Oryzias latipes: one gene and its partners. The protein of the gene in region 2 interacts with the protein of the main gene of each other region in a pairwise test. Links are inferred from orthologs where the notes say so. Each region holds a gene or a part of one and is shown on either strand. Other genes may lie near its edges.

The links.
Region 1: the proteins of gps2 (region 2) and sestd1 interact in binary tests that used the Homo sapiens proteins (3 or more experiments, as listed by UniProt). The two-hybrid records come from large-scale screens. The link is inferred for Oryzias latipes from reciprocal best matches to the Homo sapiens genes GPS2 and SESTD1.
Region 3: the proteins of gps2 (region 2) and tfip11 interact in binary tests that used the Homo sapiens proteins (3 or more experiments, as listed by UniProt). The two-hybrid records come from large-scale screens. The link is inferred for Oryzias latipes from reciprocal best matches to the Homo sapiens genes GPS2 and TFIP11.

The regions. Positions count from the first base shown.
Region 1 is NC_019879.2:6,611,901-6,617,011, reverse strand, and holds the start of sestd1 (SEC14 domain and spectrin repeat-containing protein 1), read left to right. Parts: upstream 1-1,705; 5' UTR 1,706-1,987; intron 1,988-4,187; coding exon 4,188-4,257; intron 4,258-4,342; coding exon 4,343-4,451; intron 4,452-5,111. UniProt on the Homo sapiens protein: May act as the primary docking protein directing membrane turnover and assembly of the transient receptor potential channels TRPC4 and TRPC5.
Region 2 is NC_019876.2:14,445,296-14,450,406, forward strand, and holds the start of gps2 (G protein pathway suppressor 2), read left to right. Parts: upstream 1-2,444; 5' UTR 2,445-2,551; exon of another isoform or gene 2,552-2,611; intron 2,612-3,014; 5' UTR 3,015-3,038; coding exon 3,039-3,159; intron 3,160-3,708; coding exon 3,709-3,818; intron 3,819-3,911; coding exon 3,912-4,024; intron 4,025-4,096; coding exon 4,097-4,176; intron 4,177-4,288; coding exon 4,289-4,368; intron 4,369-5,111. Other genes in the region: gabarap (gamma-aminobutyric acid receptor-associated protein), read left to right, coding at 640-718, 816-934, 1,020-1,100. UniProt on the Homo sapiens protein: Key regulator of inflammation, lipid metabolism and mitochondrion homeostasis that acts by inhibiting the activity of the ubiquitin-conjugating enzyme UBE2N/Ubc13, thereby inhibiting 'Lys-63'-linked ubiquitination.
Region 3 is NC_019867.2:13,548,514-13,553,624, forward strand, and holds the start of tfip11 (tuftelin-interacting protein 11), read left to right. Parts: upstream 1-1,513; 5' UTR 1,514-1,642; intron 1,643-2,041; 5' UTR 2,042-2,043; coding exon 2,044-2,249; intron 2,250-2,328; coding exon 2,329-2,494; intron 2,495-2,575; coding exon 2,576-2,732; intron 2,733-2,841; coding exon 2,842-2,969; intron 2,970-3,099; coding exon 3,100-3,261; intron 3,262-3,494; coding exon 3,495-3,686; intron 3,687-3,797; coding exon 3,798-3,977; intron 3,978-4,120; coding exon 4,121-4,255; intron 4,256-4,382; coding exon 4,383-4,486; intron 4,487-4,563; coding exon 4,564-4,732; intron 4,733-4,857; coding exon 4,858-5,101; intron 5,102-5,111. Other genes in the region: srrd (SRR1-like protein), read right to left, coding at 1-95, 173-324, 429-527, 613-791, 879-919, 1,030-1,172. UniProt on the Homo sapiens protein: Involved in pre-mRNA splicing, specifically in spliceosome disassembly during late-stage splicing events. Intron turnover seems to proceed through reactions in two lariat-intron associated complexes termed Intron Large (IL) and Intron Small (IS).

The DNA of each region.
Region 1 (5,111 bases), on a different chromosome or scaffold from region 2:
GGACATTTTTTTTTTACATTTCTGTTGTGGATATAATTAATAATGCAGCCAAAAGGTGCCACAATAAAGTTTTTTTCTTCTTCTTTTTAAAGTCTAAGACATCAAACACTGAAACCTTAAGAGACCGCTAAACCAAATTGTCTACAGAAGCAAAAATATATGAAGTTCTAAAGGAAGTATAAAAAAATACCAAAATACTGAAATGGTCCTTCTGAGAATCAGCTTTTTGATTAATTGTCATTGTAACAAATTATGTTTTGTAGTAGTATTTTTAATAGACTACTTTGAGCTTCTGCCACACAATCAAATTATTTGTTAAATTTGCAAATAAATGAAAACTGTTTTTTTTAACATATATTTATCGACTGTATAAGAGATACAGTCAATAAATGCACATTTATTATTATAATGCTTTCAAAGACTATTTGCAAAAGTTGTTTCCGCACATGGCTGGGGCCTTGAGGACACCAAAGGGGAAAAAAAACCCACTGCACTGACCTGGGCGTGGTCTGTTTAAATCTGGCGCCACCCCGTTTTGTCAAGTATTTTAAAATAGAGGCAAATAGACTTTCAAAATAAAGGCACTGAAGAAATAAGCACTATGAGAAAAAAGAACATAGCGTAGCAATGCCACTTAGTTATTAGCACTGCTGCAATGCTAATGCTACTTAATTAATCTATAAGTAGTGTCATCAATGACAGACTTTTTTGTTGTTCTGTTCTTACATAAATTATTAACTTTTTTATGTTTTTAATTATGCAAGTTACCTTGACAAAAAGTATTTAATTTAAATGTACTACAAGTAGCTTATACTTAGTTAATACTAAAAGTGAGGCAGTATGTTTGACATTTGCTTTTTATATACTGTCTATATATTGCACATGTAAATCGTTTCAGTTAATATACTTCCTATACATGCACATGGTTTAGTATACTTGCTATACCAATACTCAAGTATGCTTGAAAAAAAATCAAGGATACTACTTTTTTCCAGGGGTTGCTCATAGCTGTGATGTGCCTCATATTTAGTGTAAACCTCTCCATTTTCAGATTTCTCTAAAAGTTTGTTTGTAGGCTACTCAGAGCCAAACTTTGTGTTTTTATTTTATCTACCGTGTGTTTGGTATATTTCTGTAGCTCAACCTTGAGTAACCTCTAGTATAACCTCAAGGTTGTGCTAAAGAACTTTTAGGTCTACAAAGAGGGCAAATATTTTTGATCTTTTTTCCTACTTAATGAAAACAAATATATTGTTGGTTCCCATACAAGCATTCAAGCATTTGCCTTTGATATTTATTTTACCCTCATAGGGTGACATTTATGTGTCCCCCTTCTCTCTCTCTTTTTTTTTTTTTTTTTACACATTATTAGATAAAAAATTTAAATACATGAGAAAAATTGGTGGCCATATTCTAGAATAAATCATACTGGAAAATCTATGTGTTTAGAATGGTTAAAATTATGATAAGTTGTCATCTGGTTAGTAGTTTTCTTAATCAGATTTTTATTGGCATGTAAATATGCCTACTGGTGAGGCTGATCATATGTTCACTATTTTCTTTTTTTCATTTATTGATTTGACAATACTATTCAGAAAATATTTCCTTTCTCTATTGACTACCTCTCTCTCAATATTTGAAGATTGAAGATAAAAGAAAAAGGCTTTAATTTTGAAATCCGATTCTGCCGGAAATCACACTTAACCATTTGGCTTTACGGAGCCTGCGCAAAGCTGCGGGCTCCTCCGCCTGTCCTGTGTGTTTCCACTGTTGTTTGAAGCAAGCGGAGAGAAAACTGAGATTTTTTTCTCTGTTTTAAAGCATAAAACAATTAAGTTTCGGTTTATTTCACTCTGTGATAGAAAAAAGACAAATAGAAAAGGAGGGAAAAGCTGTAAAATACGAGGTCAGACAAGGAAAGAGGCGGAGAGGAGGACTGGGAGGAGAGATTTAGCTCAGTGGAAAAATGCTACGGATTTGATAAAAGGTAAGAAAATCCTCCATGTCGATACTTTATTGATCCCAAAGAGGTCGATGCGGGGCGGTTAGAGGCTGCGGCGAGGGTTGGGGGAGCTACAGCCGCAGGAGCGGCGAGCTGCGGTTTCCACATGTAGGTCATTGTGTCTGTGGGTCTCAACCAGAGAAAAACTGAGCCAAACCGTGCCGGGGGTCCTGCAGCCGCAGCCGAGCTAAGGCCAGGCCGCAGGGGGAGGACGAAGCCCCGCAGCTGGACTGAGTCGCTCCTCCTGACTCCTAATCCTGCCAAAAGATACAGGCCTTCATCAAATGTAATGACCCAGTTTCTCTTAGCAGCACTAAAATACTGATGGAGCTGCTGCATTCAGGGACGAACAGGAAAAAAGAAACGCTAAGAACGCAGCAATAACTAATGTCTAAAAAGTTAACTTTTTAGATCATTAACAATACTTCTAACTCTAAATGTGTTTACATTTAAAATATATATTTTAATTAAAGAAAAGAAGCACATACAGAGATTTTATTAAGTAAAACACACATCAAGAGTAAAAAGTTTGATCAGATTTCACAGATTAACTTTCTTTTACTCATCTTTCCGGTAGTCTTTTAATAATGAGTTTGTCTTTTTTTCCTAAATTAAAAACAAACAAACATGTAGTTCAGTAGAAATTCGCCTCTTAGTTGACACAGAGTGAGCCTGCCCTCACTTTCCCATCATCCATCTGTTGACATGCTCTCCCGCTGGCCTACAGCCCCCCCAAAAAAACCCCACTGGTGCAGCAAAAATGGCGAGCAATATCGTTGCTACCCAGCTGTGCAGTTATGAGCCAGATGTTGACTCGTACAAGGAAAGCAAAGACGAACGTGGATCTATTTGTCTCCAAGTGGATCCATCAGAATGGAGCAGAGCAGGATGCTTGGGGGGGGCTTGCCATTGTTGTTCAAACTGCATTTTGTTTCGTCTGCTCTTAAATCACGATTTAAAAAAAACAAACAAACTCAGAAATGCAATTTGAAGCTTAATTTTCTTTTTATATATTTGTCCGTCATCATCAGAAAAATGCCACAAGAACATGTTCAAAACAGCATTTTCTTTGGAGTGAGTCTTTAACAAACACGGTGATGTTACAACAACCCATAAACAAACGTGGCACACATTTATACTTATGTTTAACAGTAGACAATAAACACAAAAAGGACAAAGACAGGAAAGGAGAACAGTGGGAGTCGACTGAGGTTCCATTCATTCGTTTTTTCATTTATCCATTGTCGTATTTGGGTAGAAGTCTATGGTCATATTCATACATATTTATATTAAGTGATTCGTCATTAAACAACATCAAACTTGAACATTCAAGTATAATTGTTTCCACTCTGTTGTTAAAAATATCCATCCCAATATGAATGAAGGAGGTAAGTTTGTTTTAGTTTAGTTTTGCGTTCTGTTATTGTTGATGCTTTGAAATTGTCCAGTTAATTGTGATCATTTTTCTTGTACTTCCTAATAATATATATAATACATCATCTATATTATATATAAAGCAGTATATTTGAAGGCATTACCTTTTTAAGTAACAGTATTTTTTCGATTACCTCTTCATATTTGATCCAATTATTGGATAGGCCAGTCCCAATTGGACAATTGGACAGTCCAAATTATATTTATCTGGGATTTTTCACTTTTCTTTCGTTGTGTCCATGACCAAGGTAGTGTCTCTTTGCAGCAACATATAAAAGAATTTATTTGTTATTCCTTTTTTATTTATTTCATAAAGACTGTGCAAAGAAAACAGCAGTTAGAAGATGAGAACTTAAACGATAGGAATGTGCTGATTTACTGCGCGAAGCGAGGCGCGCATCATCAGGCAGTGAATTTAAGGCTGAATTGAAGCCAACGCTCTCAATCTACTGGGAGTAAAGCCAACGCTGAGAAAATGGCACAATCCCTGTCATGTTCATGTAACGCTTCAGCTGGGATTTGCAGTGTCTGCAGCACGACATACTGTCTTAAAGTTGGGAGTTTAAGTAAACATTCAGGTTTTTCTTAAAGTTTCTATCAGCCTGTTGTTTGGCGATCTGCTGTTCTTTGAAGCCGAGGAGAAGTGTTGGACTTTCTGATGAGTTTGAGGAAGCCAGATGGTAGTTCATTCGGATATTTTTTATAAAACGGTCAGGAAAACCAAGTAAAAATAGGTTTCTTTTATTTCCAGATGTCTGCCGTCAGCATGGAAGCAACAATCATCCTCCCCATCCTCAAGAAGAAGCTGGCCTTTCTGTCAGGTAGCACGCATGCGCATGCAGAGGGGAGGTGGGTAGGCCTGTGGTTTTCTGAGCAAACAACCTCACTGCATCTTGTCTTTGAAAGGCGGCAAAGACCGGCGCAGCGGTCTGATCCTGACCATCCCCCTCAATTCAGATCAGACCAGCATGGAGGAGCTCAGTGCCACTTTGGACTACCTGCTCAGCATCCCAAGGTGCGTCTAGTCTGTGAGCGCTTCTGCTCCCTGTAGCCGTCCCATTCGAGCTTTACCCGGTCAAGTTTGGGTTTATGTTGCTCTCAGAAAAGCTGCTGGGTGTAAATACAGTGAAATGTTTTGCACTGTTGTGTGTTTTGCCTGAACTTTCAATTTTTCCTTGTAATTTTTCCCCCTTTTTAGGAATCCAGCATCTATTTAAAACCATTTTGTTCCCTAAAAACTTGTATAATTGTTGTCTGAGAATTTCCTCCTATTAGGTTTTAATTTTTGGGGGGTTTATTTCCTGGTTGATTCTTTTCATTAACTTTTGACTTGCTTTATTTTAGTTTTAGAAATGTCAATCTAGAAGCACTTTTATTGATCACTCAACCCATAAGAACCCAGACGCTTTTTCTTTTTTTTTAAATTTTACTTATTTTATTTAACCTCCAATTGAGATCAGATCTTTTTTTCAAGGGAGAACTGGTCCAAAAGGCACCATCACAATAAAAACATTCCGATTAATCAATAAATTATAAATATACAATTTGAATAAAACTTCTGTGGGAACTACCACAGACCAAGTGGTTACCATGGATACCGATGGGTTAAGTTCTTCCAAAAGTAGAAATTGTTGACAACTATTAAAGGTTTTCCACGTGTTTTAGTAAGTATCAG
Region 2 (5,111 bases):
GCATTTGTTACGTCGTGTTGTTTGTGTTGATTCTACTTTGTTGTTTTCGAGTCATTGATGCTGAAACTGATATGTCTGTCTGGATGAAATCATTTCATTCCCTATGCCTCTATTGACTTGACATTTGGCTGTACTTTCTTCTGACATCTGTTTCCCATCGGGTACTATTTTTGAACACAATTATTGTATTAAGTAATTACTAATAAATTATTTCCTTTTTTCTATTTTATTTGTCAACTACTATCACATTTTTTAACGTTTTTTTTTCTTTTCTTTTTTGTGTAGTACATAAAGCTAGTCACGTTTATTCACAAAATAATGATGCTTTTTTTTAGATATATTTGTCAAAAATTAAGTATTTTGTAAAAAAAACTTTTTTTCCCTGCTATTTTGTAGTTTAGAAAAAAGTTTTCAGACAAATCAATCATGCATTCATTGTATTTTCCCCTAATGATGTTGAGCCACATTTAGGTCATTTCAGTTCCCACCTGACACAAGGTTGATTTTTTTTTTTTTTTCAGTTCCCTTTTCTTAGAAAGGTGAAGCACGCAGGGGAAAAATTTCTCGCTGTGTGAATTTAAATCTTAACAGAAATCTGTTGTGGAAATGCTGCTTTAATTTTTTTTCTTTTTTCTTCAGGTTATTGTGGAGAAAGCCCCCAAGGCTAGAATAGGAGATCTGGACAAGAAAAAATACCTTGTCCCTTCTGACTTAACAGGTAAACATATCACTCTTTTAAAAGAAAAAGAAAAAAGTACGGTTCACTTTTTACCGTTGTATAAGAAATTGTATTTTCTTTTTTTTTTTTTTTTAAGTGGGCCAGTTTTACTTCCTCATCCGGAAAAGAATCCACTTAAGAGCAGAGGATGCTCTCTTCTTCTTTGTAAACAACGTCATTCCTCCCACCTCAGCAACCATGGGACTGTTGTACCAGGCAAGAGTCTAACTCACTGAATTTTTAACTGTTACTGAAAGTATTTCCTCTGTTCCTCTTATTTTACTCTATTTGATTTCCTCAGGAGCACCACGAAGAGGACTTTTTCCTCTACATTGCCTACAGTGATGAGAGTGTGTATGGGAACAGCCAAAGGGAAATGTGATCCCCTTCAACCACCTTTCTGAGACCTTTGTCATTCATTCATTTAAAAAGTAAAATCCAGCTTGGCAGTGTAGAGTTCCCAGAGTAAATGTCATCTGCACTTTCACTTCTCACAAACACAATCTTTTACATATTCATTTATGACTTTTTCTATTTTGCAGTCTGAATTGTATTTGCCTTCTCTGGTTTGGTTTTTGGGAATCGTACTCCACAGAATGCCTGATAAAGAAAAGTGAAAATAAAATCTCAACCGCTATGCGCTTGTATTTACTTCTGAGTGCAGAAAACAGAGGCAGAATTTGTTGAGTTAAATTGACCCCTGCCTGGTAATAAGTATAAATAGTGCTTGTCAAATTTTGACAAGACTTTGATGATGAAAAAGATTTTGGTTTATGTTTTAAAGTCAATAATTTTCAAAAGAATAGTGATAGTGCTGCCAGCGGTAGTGATCTTTTTTTTTTTTCCTTTTGATTTATTTTATTTTAAATTTAAAGAGGTCACGGTAAGCTTTATTTTTATTAAATTGTTAAATCCCAAAACACTAGTATTTCCTTCCTCATATTTAATCTTTGCGAGGACTATAATAGGATTCAGACTGCTCAATCATTCTCTGCTTTCAGTGGTAAAATTATTTTGACAGCTAATATGATTATTGTTGTTATTATTGTTAATTTTAGGTGGCTCACTTTCTAAAGAAGTTGTAAAGCTGAGTGTAATTTTCTTTTTAAGTTTCTTATTTTTTAAAAAGGATTTACAGTAGAACTCTGTATACGGCTGCATTAATGGCTCTTTCTCTCCACTCATGATCGTATATGATAAAATGTTATGAAAGTTGATATTTGTTTCCTGACTTTTTTTATGGTCTGATGATTTTACTGGATAGTAAAAAAATTACATTAAGATTAAAAGGTCATTAAAAAAAGGTGGGATCTAGTCCTAAATGGAAAAACTGTTGCCTATCTTTGATATGAAAGTTAAACAAAACATACAAAAGAAAAATAGGAATATGTTTAAAGTATTTTATCTCTCTTGATAAACCTAGGTAAGTTTGGTCTTTTGATTTTAGAAGTACGTGGCTGTTAGTATAAAAAAAAGGTTATATATATAGTCTGTAAATATAGAGAAAGTTATTAAAAAATGGGGGCATTGGAATGTCCTTATTACAAAATATAGGCTAACTTAAATTTAAAAATATGAGTGCAACATTTTTATTTTACAATTAATACTGTTTTTAAATTCTGTAGTTCAAAATGTGACTTCTGAAATCCACTTAAGCTAGATTTAGAAGATCTAAAAGTGTTGGTCTGAATTTAAACTCCACATTGAAACGCAAATTCCCATGATGCAAATGGGGCAGCCGTGTCTTTTAACCGGAAGTAGAACTCTTTCCCCCGGTCCTAAAACCTCTGTTTATATTCGCGGCCGAAAGTTTTGCCGGATAAAAGCAAAAAGGTAGATATTACAAAAGGCGACACAGTCTGGTTCTTAAAAACGGCAACATTAACGATAAAAGTAAGCATCTTTTCTGAAATAAATTAGCTGTTAGCAAGCATTAAAATAATATAGTATAAACTCCGTCGCGCACTTATTTGTTTAGCTGGTGTGGCTAACTTTAGCTAACAATTGGGTCTTTTTGCACACAGATATACGCATGTTTGTCTTGGACGTATCTTACTTATCACAAACATTCATGTTAAATTTTGCTGCTAGATTAGCGGGTTTATTATTTTTAAAGATTTTGCCGTCTTATCCTTGTTCAGGCTAGCATCACGCAGTACTTGTTTAAATTAAGCTAGGTCATGGCTCGGTATAAACCCTTCCAAAACAGATTAAAAGGTTTATTTAGTTCAATTTTCAGTAAAATTACTTGAGTCTTTTTAGCCCACTTATACTAAACCTCTGAACTTTAAAACAGCTGGCCCCTCCGTTACCAGTGACCATGCCTGCCTTGTTGGAGAGACCGAAACTGTCCAACGCGATGGCCAGAGCCCTCCACAAGCACATCATGAGGGAGAGGGAGCGCAAAAGACAAGGTCAGTGTCATCAAATGAAAAGGAGAAGTAAGTTAACCGAACAGAAATAATCATTCTTCTTTGATTTTCTAGGAGATTTCATTTAAGGCCCACTCCAATCAAATCTTGATCTGTTTTAAAAGCGTTCCCAGTGGCCAGTTTATTATGATTCTGCCGGTTTTAGGCTAAATCAAAAAGTCTGTATCGTTTTCTAGGACGTAGTTTTTGCAGAACAACAGTACCTCACATGGATTTTTTTTGCCTCCAAGTGGAGGCCTCATAATGGAGCAGAGCAGGCTGCTTGTGGCTTGCTGTTGGGTCTATGTCAAAACTGTGAGCTTTTTACAATGACGTTTTTACATCTACTCCTGATTCACAATGATTTGAATAAAAAAAAAATTATATATCTCCTCTATCATGAAAAAAAAAGGCCACAAGAACATGTTTAAAATACCAAACATATAATTTTCATTGGAGTGGGTCTCTAAAATCTGTCTCTGACCTTCTTGACAATTATCATTACAAGTAACTTTATCATGTTTCAGATGTGTGAAAGTGTTACAGGTGATGCTAAATCTTGTCCCTGTAACCTTTCAGAGGAAGAGGAGGTGGATAAAATGATGGAGCAAAAGCTGAAGGAGGAGGAGGAGAGGAAAAGAACCAAAGAAATAGAGGAAAGGATGTCATTAGAGGAAACCAAAGAACAGGTGAGCACCTGCCATCAAAGATGACCCTTATTTTAGGATTTTTAACTGACTCTTTAGTTCTTCCTTTTAATGACATTTCTCCCCTGATGTCAGGTGATGAAAATGGGAGAAAAACTTCAGGGACTTCAAGAAGAAAAGCATCAGCTGTTTCTGCAACTCAAAAAGGTTCTCCATGAGGAGGAGAAGAGGCGCAGAAAGGAGCAGAGGTATTTTCATTCAACAGTTGTTTAGTCCACGAATGATGCCTCTTGTAATTTTGCGCCTCCTTCTGTTATCAGTGATATAACAACGCTGACATCTGCCAGTTACCAACAGAGCCTGCCCATGCACACAGGACAGCACCTCCTTAATATTCAAGGTGAGCTACTAAACCATGAATACACATTTCATAAAAAGGTTGTATGTTTTGTTAGCTAATTTCAGCACTAAGATCATTTTGTTTGTTTATTTATTTCTTTTTTTGAGGGTAGGTAGTCCAGTGAGCCACAGTCGAGCTGGAGCACTACTTGGAGAAAGAAACAAACAGTTGTACACAACAACCGTGATCCCTGTAAGTACAAGTGGGCTGTTAAAAAAACGTCTTGTTAAGTTCTTTACTTAGTTCTGTTGTTTGGAAAAGCCTGGGCCAAGCTGCTTTGCTTTACTTCGGTTCTAACCCGAGTAATGCCTACAAAACCTGCGTATAGCCACTTTGCATATAACCAAAAATAATAAAGTGGACTATTATGAACATTTTATTCTCTAAATCAAAAAAAATGTATCAAGCTAAAACAAAACCACCTCCACAGAACAAAACTGTTTAAGAACAAGGAAGGAGGATATTCTTTAAACAACCTTGTGTACGGACAGCCCAAAAAAGTCAACATTTCTGTCTGTGAAAATGAGTAAAAATGATAAACACAATGGAGAAAAAAGTGCAACCTGAACATTTTGGAAATGTATAAATTAGAAAAGGAGAAATGTGATGTTTGGTTCCTAGATGCTTTTATTTATTTTTTCCCCTTCAGTTATTTTATGTTTTTAATTTTTATTAGTAAAAATGTATGTATTAAATATAGTAAGATTGGTGGTGGGAATTAATAAGATTTTCCTTGTACCCACTCCTTTTTCGAGCACTTCTATTTATCATGTTTATAGCTATTTTATTTTGAAAATAAAAGTAAGTTAATGGAAGGTTCACCGCTGAAACTCTGTTTTTAACAACTTTTTGTCAGAGTCTAAAGCCCTACCTAAATTCCAAACCAGCTTTTTAATACAGAAAATATATTTTTAAAGTGTTTATCCCACTGTGTA
Region 3 (5,111 bases), on a different chromosome or scaffold from region 2:
TCATGTGAGAAGGACAAGGCAGCATTTTTTCCTCACAGAGGTCCACAGCTTTACTGATGTAGCTGTATTCCTGTTTGAACACTCTTTCCACCGTTCTGCAACAGACAGAGGACATTATTTCATCTCTGTTTGCTAAAAACGATGCGCTCCATCATCAGTGTTTTCTACGAACCTTTCCCTCATACCATTGAAGCTGTTTCCAATGATTACAAGCTGGTATAATCCCCGTAAGCTCCAGTTTTTCCACAGTAGGTTGTTGTACAGAGCCTTCCCACAGTGCATGAGATAAAAAAGAGTGGGCTTGGTCACCAGACGCTTCCCCTCCTAAATAAAACAGCGGATACTTTAGTCTGTTTAGATCTCAGTTACGGTGATAACATCAGCAGTTTGTTCTCTAGAAGTGCAAAAAGAAAAACAATTGACATGACCTCGTTTTCTGTGAGTACAGTCATTCCCAGCTCCCTCAAGACATCCTGCTCTCCAGAGGAGAATATGGGATCATAAACCAAGCAATCCCTTAAGGAAACCTTTAGGAGAAAAAAAACTAAATGAGCAACTCAAAACAAACATAACACATGTTTGTTAGAACATAGTCTAATGCTCTCTTCTGACCTGTAATACTTCCAGCAGCAGAAGCAGCATGGCAAGCTGATACCGGGCTGCAGTGCAAGAAGAAAAGGAGCCAAGGCCATAACACACACACTCCAGCTGATCACCTGTGTTCTTCAGATGCTCCTCAGTGACGTCCTTCTCTGCAGATGCTGATGCTGTGGATGCCATCAGCAGCTCATCTGAGGACGAGGAACATAAGAGTTACAATTCAATTACACACTAAATAAAAAAAACATGTCTAAAAAATTTGGTTATGTTTTACTTACCTTTCCATTTGTGCCAAAACTCTTCGCATCTCAACTCAGTCCTATGAGACAGAGAGTAAAGAATGAGATATCAGAATTAGTTTTCCCCTCGATAAGGCACAATGAACTATGTTTATGAGTGGTTTTCCGTTTTTTTTATTTTATTTCTTACACAGTGGTCCTGATCCGTCTGACAACTTTCTCGACATCAAGCTGGTCTTCTTGGACGCTGGTGGAACTTAAAGGCACATGAGATTTAAACTTCCTTGTTTGCCCTTTTCGACGCCGAGCGACCTGCCACTCACTTTCAGACATTTTTTTTATCTCATTCCCATCATTCAACGATCTATAATAAAATGTTAGGGGTGAAAAAAAAACAGTGATAATAATTAAAAAACAAACACCCTAATCACCTCCGCCACAAAATCAGCAGCGCGTAGGACGGTTTTAAGTGTAACACATTTGTCTTCCGGTGTAACGCCAAAATAAAAGCTTTTATCACATAATTTATTAACCTAAATGTGTGGTGTTGCTGTTTTAACTTAGAGAAATTTATATAAAAACCAACACAAATCTTTAGTAAATGCAAACAAATAAAAATAAGTAAAATCTCAAAGTTTTAAGGTCACAACATTTATTCGTCAGTACTGACGGACAGACTTTACCCGGAAGTATTTCCACGTTCGTGCGTTGAACGAAAAGCTACACAGATAACCTCTTCTTGCTACAGACAGCCAAGAATGAGTTTTAATTAATCTCTAAGTGTATAAACTATTTCTTGTCAAGTAAGCTTTGTTTGTATTAAGTGCCTTTCTACTTTCCAAGTTCGAAATGTTTCTGCAGTCGTAATGGGATTTAATGTCCCAACTATCGTTAGCTAGATTTCGCTAAAAAATCTCATCATTTGCATTATTAATATCTGAGTTCTGTTAGTTAATACCTTTTTGCTTGAAACTTCTTAATGTATTTTTACGCTTTCAATCATACAAATGTGCAATACAGTTGATATTTATGTTGATAATTGTTTGTGACCGAAACAGTTTTGTGGCTAGCTTCGTGCTTAGCTAGCGTTAGCAATCATTGCTGACTGTGGTTTCATGCTGTTGTACGATTTTTTAAGCAACTTGAATGTTTTTCAATTGTATGGCTTTTATGATTTTTTTTTGTATTGGGTCTCTATCTAGAAATGTCGATGTCCCATCTTTACGGGCGGAGGGAAGAAGAGGAAGAAGGTGTGGAGATCGAAAGCTTCGAGGTGACAGACTGGGATCTGGCCAATGAGTTTAACCCAGAACGCCGCAGGTTTAGGCAGACCAAGGAGCAGGCCACTTATGGGATCTGGGCTGACAAAGATTCAGATGAAGATGAGAGACCCAGCTTTGGTGGCAAGAGGTAATTCACAGGTTTGATGCTCTGATGTCTAAATGTGAAAATTTTTGCAGAGGATGTTAACAGTGTACATTTTCTTTAGGTCGAAAGATTACAGCACCCCAGTGAATTTTGTTAGTGCCGGTCTACGTAAAACTGCAGCCGAGGAGAAACAGCAAGACAAAGAAGAAGGTTCTGATGATTCGGAAGAGGATGCCCCTGCAGTTCCCCCTCCTACTCGTGGAATTGCACCTAGAAAACTTCAGATGGTAAAGTTTCGCTTAAGAACATATTTTATCTAAAAAAGCTTTCTTTTTAAACTGACGTCTATAATTTCTTTGTTTTGTCAGAGTAATTTTCGTGGGAATCAGTCCCAGAGGTTTGCTGGTGGAATACAATCTGGACAGGGTATTGGAACCTGGGAGAAGCACACAAAAGGAATTGGACAGAAGCTTCTGCAGAAAATGGGTTACCAGCCTGGAAAGGGGCTTGGAAAAAATGCTCAAGGTAGGCAGCGTAAAGGAGGAAAAGTACTGTACACGATTGTGCTTTTGCATGCATTTCAGAGGGAAAATAATAGAGATTTTATTGCCATGCCTCTGTTTTGTTTATGTAGGTATTGTAAACCCTATTGAGGCAAAGGTCCGTAAAGGTAAAGGAGCTGTAGGTGCATATGGCAATGAGAGAACCCAGCAGAGTCTGCAGGACTTCCCTGTGGTTGACTCTGAAGAAGAGGAGGAAAAGGTGAGATTTTGCCACGAGCAGTTCTTTACTCCATATAATCTTGTTTTCACAGTGATTGTGTATCTGAAGAATTGAGGGCTAACTGTGAAATTATCTTCTTGTTTTTCTCCTGTAATGTGTGTTGTTGTAGGAGTTTCAAAAAGAATTGGGTCAGTGGCGAAAGGATCCTGCGGGCTCCGCAGTCAAGAAGAAACCAAAATACTCATACAGAACTGCAGATGAGCTGAGGGCTAAAGGCAAAATGGTTTCTCGGAACATGGCAGCATCTGCAGGAGAGTTGGCGCAGGTTAAGGTGCGTTAAAATCCTGCGTTATGTCCTTTTAATTTCGGGTCAGAACAATGAAAAAAACCACAAACTTTAATATTTTAAAGAGCTTCACAAGCATCTACTTGTTTTTTTTTTTTTTTTTACATTTCCTCCTTTCAGCATAAAACTGAAATAAATTGAAAGATTTTTATGGCCATGGAAGTAAAATGATTCAAGTTTTCTTTTTATTAATTGTTTTTATCTCTCTTCAAATTTAGGTTATAGATATGACTGTAAGAGAGCCAAAGGTTTACTACAGTTACAGTCAGATAGCCAACAAACACAGTGTTCCCGATGAAACCCCACCAGCCATGTCCACACGGGATCAGAAGGGTTCCGGCTTCGCTCTCCCTGAGCTTGAGCATAATCTTCAGCTGCTGATCGACCTCACAGAACAGGACATTTTACAGGTCAGAGGAAAATCTGAAATTCTTTCAAATCATTTTCAACTATTAACCCGTTTCAAGTGGGCTTCCAGATTTAATTTTTTTCTTCTGCTCTCTTTATTTATTCTTTTGTAGTCGGCCAGACGTCTACAGCATGAAAAGGACGTGGTCGTTTCTCTGAGTCATGAGTCCCGTGCGTTGCAGAGCAGACTAGAAGCAGAGCAAGATGCCATCCAGAAAATGGAGGCTGTTTTGGCACTGGTGGAGCGTTTTCCCTCTGGAGAGACGCCACCAGGGGAGGGACCGACTCTTCAGGTACGTGGCACATGAAAATACCCAAACTAGATGTACTTATCTTGCAGTTTATTTGTTCCTAATGGTTTTTAATCTCCATTCTTCTAACATTTAATCATTTTGAACATACTTATTTGTTTATTTTCTCACCTCTCTGTGCCCAGGAGTGTGCCCAGATCTTTGAGACTTTACAAACAGATTATTATGAAGAGTATAAAATGATGGGATTGGCAGACCTGGCTGTGGCAGTTGTTCATCCTTTACTTAAGGAGAAACTTCACTCATGGGAGCCTCTAAAGGTTTTTTTTTTTTAATTATTCTAATTAAATTATTACGCTTTTATTTCTGTGGGGGGGAAAACAAACACCTTATTTTCAACATGTTGCTCAATTAAGATACTAGAGTTAAGACTGTTTTTTGTTGTAGGACAGTGCATACTGTCTGGAAGACATTGGTCAGTGGAGAGCAATCCTTGAATCCAGGGATCTTCGTTCCAGTGGCCCAGACTCCAACATGGATCCTTACCACAGGTCTGTTTAAAATACTCACTTTTACATGTAAATGTTCACATTTTGATTTTTAACTGCATGTGTCTCTCTTTGCTTAGACTTTTATGGGAAGTGTGGATCCCTGTGATGCGTATGTGTGTGTCCGGGTGGCAGCCCCGTATGGTTGGACCGATGGTGGACTGTGTGACGTTGTGGGCTCCTCTTCTGCCTCAGTGGATCCTGGATCACCTACTGGAACAGCTGATCTTACCCCGCCTGCAGCGCGAGGCAAGGCACACAAATTATAACAATCCTACATGCTTTTTTTTTTTTTTTTTTGTTCTACTTTTTCTTGCATCTGAAGTGTGTGTATCACCTGTCAAAATCTCCCTACATTTTCTCTTGTTTATTAGGTAGATAACTGGAATCCTTTAACTGACACGGTGCCCATCCACTCCTGGATTCACCCTTGGCTTCCTCTACTCCAGTCGCGCCTGGAGCCTCTCTACCCACCTATCAGGAGCAAACTTGCCAACGCTCTGCAGCGCTGGCATCCGAGTGATGCCTCAGCGCGCCTCATTCTTCAGCCATGGAAGAACGTTTTTACAGCAGGTGCATGGGAGGCCTTCATGGTGAAAAACATCATCCCTAAACTAGGTTGGTTTTC